Linked DNA regions of Arabidopsis thaliana. The protein of the gene in region 2 interacts with the protein of the main gene of each other region in a pairwise test. Each region holds a gene or a part of one and is shown on either strand. Other genes may lie near its edges.

The links. Proteins that work in one complex are often made in the same cells at the same time.
Region 1: the proteins of ZW9 (region 2) and RABA1e interact in a two-hybrid assay, tested with the Arabidopsis thaliana proteins (one large-scale study listed by BioGRID).

The regions. Positions count from the first base shown.
Region 1 is NC_003075.7:10,182,718-10,187,409, reverse strand, and holds RABA1e (RAB GTPase homolog A1E), read left to right. Parts: upstream 1-2,026; 5' UTR 2,027-2,186; coding exon 2,187-2,407; intron 2,408-3,074; coding exon 3,075-3,507; 3' UTR 3,508-3,739; downstream 3,740-4,692. Other genes in the region: AT4G18440 (L-Aspartase-like family protein), read left to right, coding at 52-168, 258-401, 483-584, 650-718, 807-1,025. UniProt on the Arabidopsis thaliana protein: Intracellular vesicle trafficking and protein transport.
Region 2 is NC_003070.9:21,611,303-21,616,548, reverse strand, and holds ZW9 (TRAF-like family protein), read left to right. Parts: upstream 1-2,379; 5' UTR 2,380-2,459; coding exon 2,460-2,848; intron 2,849-3,063; coding exon 3,064-3,233; intron 3,234-3,326; coding exon 3,327-3,609; intron 3,610-3,697; coding exon 3,698-3,849; intron 3,850-3,958; coding exon 3,959-4,155; 3' UTR 4,156-4,746; downstream 4,747-5,246. Other genes in the region: AT1G58265 (Cytochrome P450 superfamily protein), read right to left, coding at 5,161-5,246.

The DNA of each region.
Region 1 (4,692 bases), on a different chromosome or scaffold from region 2:
ATTCATAAAGATCATCGCTGATTGATTGTTCTGTGTGTATTTTTTTTGCAGATTGAACCTCATGACTATATGGCTAGACTTTTTAATAATATCAGCCAGTTCAACACTATTTTAATTGATTTTGACAGAGATATATGGAGCTACATATCTCTAGGGTACTTTAAGCAGGCAAGTGTTAATATAAGAAAGGAAAAAAAAAGATGTCAAATCATTTGAATCTGAATGGGAAAATCGTCTCATTGTTTGAGATTTTGCAGACAACTAAAGCGGGTGAAATTGGATCGTCGACAATGCCTCACAAAGTGAATCCTATTGACTTTGAGAACAGCGAAGGGAATCTAGGGAAAGCAAACGCAGAGCTTACTTTTCTCAGCATGAAGCTTCCCATTTCACGCATGCAGGTTTTAACATTTCTCCATATTCTATGTATCTCAGCTAGAGTGATGGAAGTAAACTAAGCCTGAAAAATGTACAATCTGCAGCGTGATTTAACTGATTCAACTGTCTTGAGAAACATGGGTGGAGCTTTAGGACACTCTCTTCTCGCTTACAAGAGTGCGATACAGGGAATCGGGAAGCTTCAGGTATTATTACCGTAGCCCTAAGAAATGTTTCCACTTGTCACAAACTAAGAATGTTCTTGATATAGGTTAATGAAGCTCGGTTAAAAGAAGATTTGGATGATAATTGGGAAGTCCTTGCTGAACCAATACAAACTGTAAATTTCTCGAGTTTCTAATCTTCTATATCAATCAAGATATTTGATGTATCTCTAATCCACAGAAGTATTATGGTATCAAATAAAGGTGATGAGGAGATACGGTGTCCCTGAGCCGTATGAGAAGCTGAAGGAGCTAACAAGAGGAAAAGCTGTGAATGAAGAAACCATAAGAACGTTTATCAAAGGTTTGGAATTGCCTTCAGAAGCAAAAGACCAACTTCTGGAGCTAACTCCACACACATATGTTGGTGCTGCTGCTGCATTGGCACTGGCCGTGGATGAAGCTCTGCACTTGGGACATTGATGATGATCAAAGTGGTGATAGATTGTCCTCTTTTATTATGGTATTCTTTTCGAAATTGGTGGAAAACAGAGACAATTTATAGGTCGGTGACTTGCAAGTCGTCGTTTAAAATGTTAAGAAAAATCTTGTACCATTGTTGTGTTATGTTTCCTCTTTGAGTGTCTGTGTTTTATCTAAGTCTTGAGCTATAAGCTGTGGTCAATGATTCTCGAACCAATACAAATTATTGTAATAAAATAGGTCATATACACATTGGTGTCAAATAATAAAGAGTTCTCAAGTTGAAATTCAATTTGAGTGGTTTTTGTTTTTCTTTATAACCAAGTGTTATGTAGGTATCAAAATCTAGCAAATATATATGCATATAGTAGTCAAATAAATTGTCCACAGAAACAAAACTGAGAAATAATAATGTTAAAATGTTGTTTGTCAATTAAGAGCTTTAAGTAATTCTTCTATTTATTGCTAACATTTACATGAACACAAATGTTTTAGCCTTTTAGGTCTAAAATAAATAATATAAGATCTATCTCAAAAACAAACTTACTAGTTTCCTTTAGACTTGATCTATTACTAAAAGTCTAGTACATGTGTCCAACAATAATCTCAACTCTACACTATATTTAGTGTCATATAAAAAAAATCCTTAGAAGTTAAAAATAGAAATGGAAAATTTCATGACAATATACCATAAAAAATCTTTTACCTAGATATCTTCCTACACATTGCTATAATTTTATTTATGAACAAATTTCCCTGTGATTTTATTTGAGAAAAGCTATAAATTGAATTATTGAATTGAAGACATAATAATATTGTTTTTTCCTGCAAGTGTATATTGTTCTGCGTTTACCAAGTTCATGGCGGCCATAAACCCGAAGATTTCGTCAAACATGTTTGTTCTCTAATCTTTCCAACGACTTTCAAAACATATACATATGCTAAGTCATGCATATAATAATAACAAATGATTGAATCCTAATATTATTCTTATTTTTATAACACTACCAAAACCAATAAGCCCTTTCGTCGTTACCCACTACCCATAATTTCATTTCATTACAAAACACAACAACACATCATTCATTTCATTAGATCATATTGCAACATCTCTCTGAATTCTTCTTTACGATTTTGTAACTTCTATCAAATACCTTAATAATGGGAGCCTACAGAGCCGACGACGACTACGATTATCTCTTCAAACTAGTCTTGATTGGAGATTCCGGCGTCGGAAAATCCAATCTTTTGTCTCGCTTCACCAGAAACGAATTCAGCATCGAGTCAAAGTCAACCATCGGTGTCGAGTTCGCCACAAGAAGTGTTCATGTCGACGAAAAAATCATCAAAGCTCAGCTTTGGGACACCGCTGGTCAAGAAAGGTAATAAATCCTCGAAATTTCACTGTTTTATCTCTATATGTTCTGTTTTGTTTCATTCTTTGAACCAAACCAAACCGAAATGGTTGAACAAAAATCAAACTGGATAATTTTACAAATTTGTTTGTTTTACTATTTTGAAACCAATATAAACTGATTTAGTGTAACCAAATAAACCGCATTTTTTTAGAAATCCTCTACTTTTGATTATGTATCTCTATGGAAATTAAATTGAAATAGTTATGTTACATTAATATAATATTAACTAGATCATGATTTATTTCAATTATCAATTTCGATTTTTTTTATAAATATAATATACTTTTAATTATGTATATGTATGGAAAATTGGAATAAGTATATTGCACTGATATAATATTTGACTAGATAATGATTTTATTTTAATAATCAATTTCTATAGATTAACCAAATATAACTTTCTTGGTAAAAAGTTTTTTTTGCTAAAAGGAACCAAATATAACTTAATTCAAATCAAGAACAAATTGGAAAATAAACCAGATTACAAATTATTTTATTTGGTTTTAATTTCTATTAACCGATATAATCAATAGCCGAAACTAACCAACCGTAAACCGATCTCCCACTCCTATGCTCTCTTTCTTCTCTATATGCTCTGTTTTTGAGTAATAGCGACTTATTTGTTATACAGATACAGAGCAATCACGAGTGCATACTACAGAGGAGCAGTGGGGGCACTTCTAGTATACGACATAACTCGACACATAACGTTCGAAAACGTTGAAAGATGGCTCAAGGAGCTTCGTGACCATACCGATGCCAACGTTGTAATCATGCTTGTTGGAAACAAAGCCGATCTTCGTCACCTTCGTGCAGTTCCCACAGAAGAAGCTAGATCATTCTCTGAAAGAGAAAACATGTTTTTCATGGAGACTTCTGCTTTGGATGCTACAAATGTCGAACAAGCTTTCACTCATGTCTTGACTCAAATCTATCGTGTAATGAGCCGTAAAGCTCTTGATGGTACTGGAGATCCGATGTCTTTACCTAAAGGACAAACCATTGATATCGGAAATAAGGATGATGTTACTGCTGTTAAATCTTCTGGTTGTTGCTCAGGTTGAGATTATTGTTTTTGTTTTTGTAAACTGTCTTTTTGGAAGAAGGCTTTGGCTTTGGTTTTGTTGTATTGGACTATTTTTGGGGGCTTCATTTTAAGGTTATGAGACCGGTTTGTTTTATAATACAAACCGAAGAATTGTATTGAATTGAACAAGACTTGGTCCGGTTAATAAGATAGTTTACTAATACCGAACTGATCAAACATATATGATCCCAAAAAGGGAACTATCAAACAACCATAATCTTAGCTTTTGGTGTAAGATTTAGTTATGATTTCTCTTTAGGACATGAGTAGCCGACTTGAATCGATACCAAAAGTCTGGTGCTAACAAAGCGAGAATCTGATAAACTTATTAGTAATGTGAATTATGATATGAACATTTTATCGTATCTAATCGAAAGATTATTAGCGTCCAAGAAAATAGCTTTTCTATACAACTAAATAGCATCGGCTAGTTTTTTTCTTAGGGTTTTTGAGTTCGAACCAGCGCAGGTACATGTTTAAAATATCTATTAGTAAACATATCGCATCAATATATATAAAAAGGAAATTAAACGTAACAAAAAAAAAATTAACTTACCAAACTTTAGAAATAATTGAAATAATTTACCAAAAACCAAAGAGAAGAAGAGGAAGATATGTATAACTTATTCCACACGGAAGCAAGTTAGGTCCACCGTCCAAATTATGAGAACACCTTTCCTTCCAAGTCTAAGGATGTTTATTGTTTCGTACACTTGACAATCATCATAATTATTCATGCGAATATTATTATATTTCTTATAAACTAAATCATGAATTATGATCATTTTTACTTTTTAGTACTGAAGAAATGAGAACAATGCAGCAAAATAGAAAAACTAAGCATCATGTGAATACGAAACCGGAGATTCAAAATTTTAACTACTTCAAAAATTAAGAATTGCGTCAAATAGTGAAACACCTCTTTAAATCTCTTGATTGTAAGACTCTTTGAAAATATTTTTTGGATATATTATAGCAAAATGTGTAACGTGTGAGGATTCGTATTAACTAACGTTAGTTAACTTAAAATAATGCCAACTAATAACTACACAAAAATTCCTTAAAAAGGAACCATGCATAAAGGTGAAAGAAACGAAAATTCGTGGTTGGTTGACTAAGCACTTTACGTTAAACATATATGTTTATCCAAAAATTAATTATC
Region 2 (5,246 bases):
TTGTAGGTTCAGTGGTAAGGGTAAACTCGTAAAATACTTGCATAGAAAAATACTTAAATCTATAAGGCATATGAGATATGTCTGTTTTCATAAAGATATAAACTTAATTGTGTCAATCCCATAATTAATCCCTAAATTGTGAGTTGCAGTTTTAGAGTTTATGAGTCTTTTTTAAAAAAATTATTATGTTCCATTTTAATATATTTTAGTACCAGGTTTACTTCCCCTTTTTTTTGGGTTTTAACTTCTTTCTTGTTTGAGTTTTGCTTTAGAGATTTTAGTTTTTGTAAAGCAAAAATTTGCTCCTGATGAATCATGCCTAATGCTACCTGTTCTTATTGTCGATTTGGTAGTCTTTCATTGCAGCAAATATTCTTTCAATCACTTCTTTCAAAAAATCTACATATACATTTTTGCAGCCATTTTAACAAATAAATCCTGAATTTGGACTTATTTACAACTCAATGCCATTAGCATTAAATCTTTTCTCCAAAATAATTAATTTTACTTGATTTAAATTGTCAACCACATTATCAATCAAATTTAACCCTTAAAATTAGCATAAACATATTTGTTAACAATATTTTAAAACAAAGTTTTTTGTTAAAACAAATATTATTCTTACTAAACATTTTTTGTTTAAATAAATAAATCATGTATTTGAACTTATTTACAATCTCATGACACTGACATTAATTATTTAGGAATGAAAATATTTAATTAAAGATTTAAATCTTCTAAATCCTTGCTTTTAGAGTTATTATGTCATTACCTTAAAGGCTCAAAATATAAAATAAATAAATATAATTATTTAAATATTTTAAATTTATAAAACATTATTAATATTTAAAATTATAAAAAGTTTAATATATCATAATTTTTTAACATCATTATATAATATATAAAGTTTAAAAAAATCTCTATTCTTTCCGCCATAATTTGTGATTCGAAATTTTAAAAATAAACATATATTAACCAATTGGCGAAAAATGTTTGAGTTCAACGTCCCACATCGACTAAAATATTTAGACAATAATTCATAAACATATCATAAATAAGATTAACATTAATAAAATAATGGTTTTTTTACGGGACGGGTTTGGCGTGACGGGTTTGGCAGAACGTTACTTAATAACAATTGTAAATTATAAAATAAAAATATTTTATAGATAGATACAATTTGCAAAATTTTATATATATTAACTTTAAAATATAAATTGTCCCCGCGGTGTACCGCGGGTTAAAATCTAGTATTGAAATATTTTGGTTTCAATTATTTATTTATCGGGAATTGATTTTGAATTGGTAGTGTGAATTATTGGTGTCACTGTTATACCGCGCTGGCAATTAAATCGATAGGGTCATATAGATGTCATTAGGTAATCGCAAGAGTAATATATTTTATGGATATGGTAAGGGTTGATGCTTTGTCATGGTTTTTATTATTATTATTATATATAAATGTAAATATTAATGAAATAGTGTGTATATATATATATAATAGTTTTGGAATTACATGATGTATAATGTATATAGGGGTTGAGAGACCTATGACCGGTCAAAATTTGGGGGCCAAAGTAACAAATTATATATTTGGGGTTATTATAAACTGTTTTGAAATTTGGATATATTTTTCTTAGAACTAAATATATTTGGAAGCCTATTTATAAATCAGGTTTGCTGTAAAAAAAAGTTTTTAAAAATGGAGACAACATACAAATGTTTCATGTTGCTTCTTTCAGAGCCGGCCCGGGAGAAGCGTTGCCAAAAAAGAATAAAGACAAAGGTAACAAATAAACAAAGAAGACACAACAGTGAATTCATCTAATCCAAAGTTGTATGTGGTTTCCGAAATGCTTCCTTTGTCTTGTTCCGAATCTCTCTGTCGATGAACTTGAAAATGGTGTTTCACGTTCATTCAATAAAAAATAACAACCATAGTGTACACAGAGACTGATAGTGAAATAAAGGAAAAAAAAACTATAATCTGTTAAATTCAGATAATATCTATTATTTTTTTGTTTTGTTGAAAAATCAAATCTCTAGTAACATTAATGAGTATGAATCGTGTCTGGTAGTTGGTACGAATCGAGATCTCATCAATGGGTTTTTTAAGCTGCTTTGAGACGTGCGTAACACGAAGTTGTCCACTATGACTTGCTCTTGTACTTATAAGTTAAAATAATGATGCAGCAGAAAACAATTACTATTTTGTGAGACACGTATATCCCAACAAAACAATATGTCGTAGAACGTGCTAATTAATTAGTGAATACCTACGTGTCACGATCTCATGAGATTGGTGTATTACTGAGAACTAACGATCTCATGAGATTGGTGTATTACTGAGAACTAATCACTAATAAACGTGAATCTCGTGACACATATTATCATTATGCCTATATATACGTACATAAAACAAGACATTATTACAAACACAAAATATAGAAAAAGAAATAATGTATTCAGAGGAAAAGAAAAGCAGAAATTATGGTTCAATCTTTGTCTACTGCTTCTTCTGTTTCGTACTCATTGTGGAGGTTGCAAGATTCGCAAAACCTTATATCAACCTTCAAAACCTAATTGAGACGGAAGCAGTAGTAGAAGAAGGTTTCATGGCGGTGGGGAACTCAGGGAATCTTCCGTGTGGCTCGTCAAAACCTAGCTCTGCCTCTGTTCGTGCTCATGATGAACAGAAGCTCTCGCAAGCAGTAACAACAGATACGAGAACTCGTCCTCCAAATTCGTACTGCGTGAAGTTCCAGTCTTTTGTCACTATGGCAAAGCAGGTCAAAGAAAACGGTGGCAAGTATGAGTCACGTCCTTTCTCCGTCGGTGGATACAATTGGTACGTACGCGTTGACTTCCATTTCAAAAATGTTGAGAAACCATACCTTATACATAGAAGATATACATTTTTTTTTGTCAAAGGGTATTCATTTATATACTAGTGTTTTGATCATCTCCACTTTCTATGTGAAAGATTTTAACTTATTGCTCTGAATCTCACCCAAATTTTAATTTGTATATAATTTGACATATTTCTACTTAAAATGTTATAAGGACGCTCCTAATCTACCCAGTCATATACATTCCAACGGACTCGGGTGGGTACGTTTCGATTTACGTAAGAGTCGATAACTCAAGCCTCATCACCAATCCAAAAGATGTGTATGCAGAGATCACATTCCTCGCTTATAAAAGCAGTACAGACAAGTACCAAATAAGCCAGGGTACTAATTAACTAATCTAGAGCAAGTAAATATATATGTTTAAATCTTTTGTGGTTTGTTCAGACTAGTTATTTAAGTTTGATCCGTTTGCAGAGACTGAGGCCCAGCGATTTCATTTGTTTAAACAACAGTGGGGACTTTTACAATTTCTACCAATTTACTATTTTGAAAATCCGGCATATGGATACTTTTTCGAGGGCGAAAGCGTTGTGTTTGGCGTTGACATCAACATTGTTAAACCCTTTGAAAATTGGGAAGTGTTCTCTAATGAACAAAACATTCGTGACCCTATTTTCGAATGGAGACTCACCAAATTCTCTACACGTTTTCTTGACTCTTACACTTCTGATTCCTTTTCTTCCGGAGGAAGAAACTGGTACGTGTGACTTTCTTCCTCTTGTATATATATAACAATACGTACAAGATGTGTTAGTTTAATAATATGATGGTTTTTTACATTGAAGGGCATTGAAAGTGTATCCAAATGGAGTTGGAAATGCTACGGGTAATTCGTTGTCACTCTATTTGTTGAGTGATCAGTCAAATGATAAGGGTTATGTGGAAGCTAAGTTACGAGTTATTGACCAGATCCAATCCAACAATTTCGAGAAAAAAGGTTTGATATCTACTTTGTCAACTACTACTACTAATTTAAAGCTAATTAATTATAATTAATGAGCCTTTAAAAAATAAAAATAACTTTTGATTTCTTCCTATATACACAGTGGCGGCATGGCCCAATGCAACGGAGAATGGATGGGGTTTCGACAGGTTTCTATCATTTGCAGATATCAAAAACACATCAAAAGGTTTCCTAGTCAACGATACTCTCAAACTTGAAGTCCAGATCTTGTCCTTCTCGAAAACCGACTACTACTCTCATCAATCGTCTCTTAATGTTTTAACGGGAGATAGTACTTAGGTGACTAATCGTCGCTAGTGTAATTTTACAACTGGCTACTATCACTTTGCTTCATTGTGTTTTTTGTTTCTGTTCAATAATAATGAGTTCGAGCTTTCCTATGTCAAACTTGATCAATCTGATTTCACATATTGAATACCAAATTGGATAGGATGAAAGAGGCAGTCCCTAGGATGTTTTTTTTTTTTTTTGGATTTAAAGATTGGGTACGTAATCCATTCACATTTCCTTTTATAATTGTCCACTTCTTAATCGTTTAGTCGATCGTCTACGGCTTCAATAATTGTAGTTTTGTCCTTAGTAATTGATTATTCTTTTCACTTCGTTTTTCGTCCACTAATACAATTACTACAATGTTGTTCTTCTCCATAAACATTATCTACATCGATTCCTCTCTATTGCTTGTAGTTGTACAGTTGTCTACTGCGCTTAAACTTTTTGTTCACTTTTCATTTATGTTCCCGTCCTCGGCTTCAACTACTGTACTTTTGAAGATTTGTTAGATATACTAGGAACATGAACTGCTACTAAAAACTTGTCCACGGTTCCATCTTCGTGGACATCTGTATTTTGTTTACTTCGTTTCTCGTCGACTGCTACAACTACAGTATTGTTGTCCATCATCCCTTCTCCGATACATTATCTACATCCATCTTTCTTCGTTTCTCGTCGACTCCTACATGTTTGGGTGACAAATCATCAAGTGATAAATTATTATTGTATTAAAAGCAACCATTTTTATTGTATAACAACCATCATAACTTTCTTTCTGTCCACATTTAATGTGCCACGCCACACCATCATCTTATCTAGACGTCAACTGCTTTTGGCAGAGGTGTCAGCCTCATTGGGCGAAATGTTTTGTTTCCCTCCATAACCAATTAAAGGTAGTTTAGACATCTTCTCCTTTGTCAAAAGCTGACTCATTGCACAATTTTAAAGATATAAAAAATAGCATTGCCGACAAAATATTTATACAAATATGGCACAATTGGCAAAATTCCCTTAAAAAACATAAATAGTACTTAACAAGATTATATCACTTGATGATTTGTCACCCAAACATTTTCTAAAAATTCTTGATCTGAATT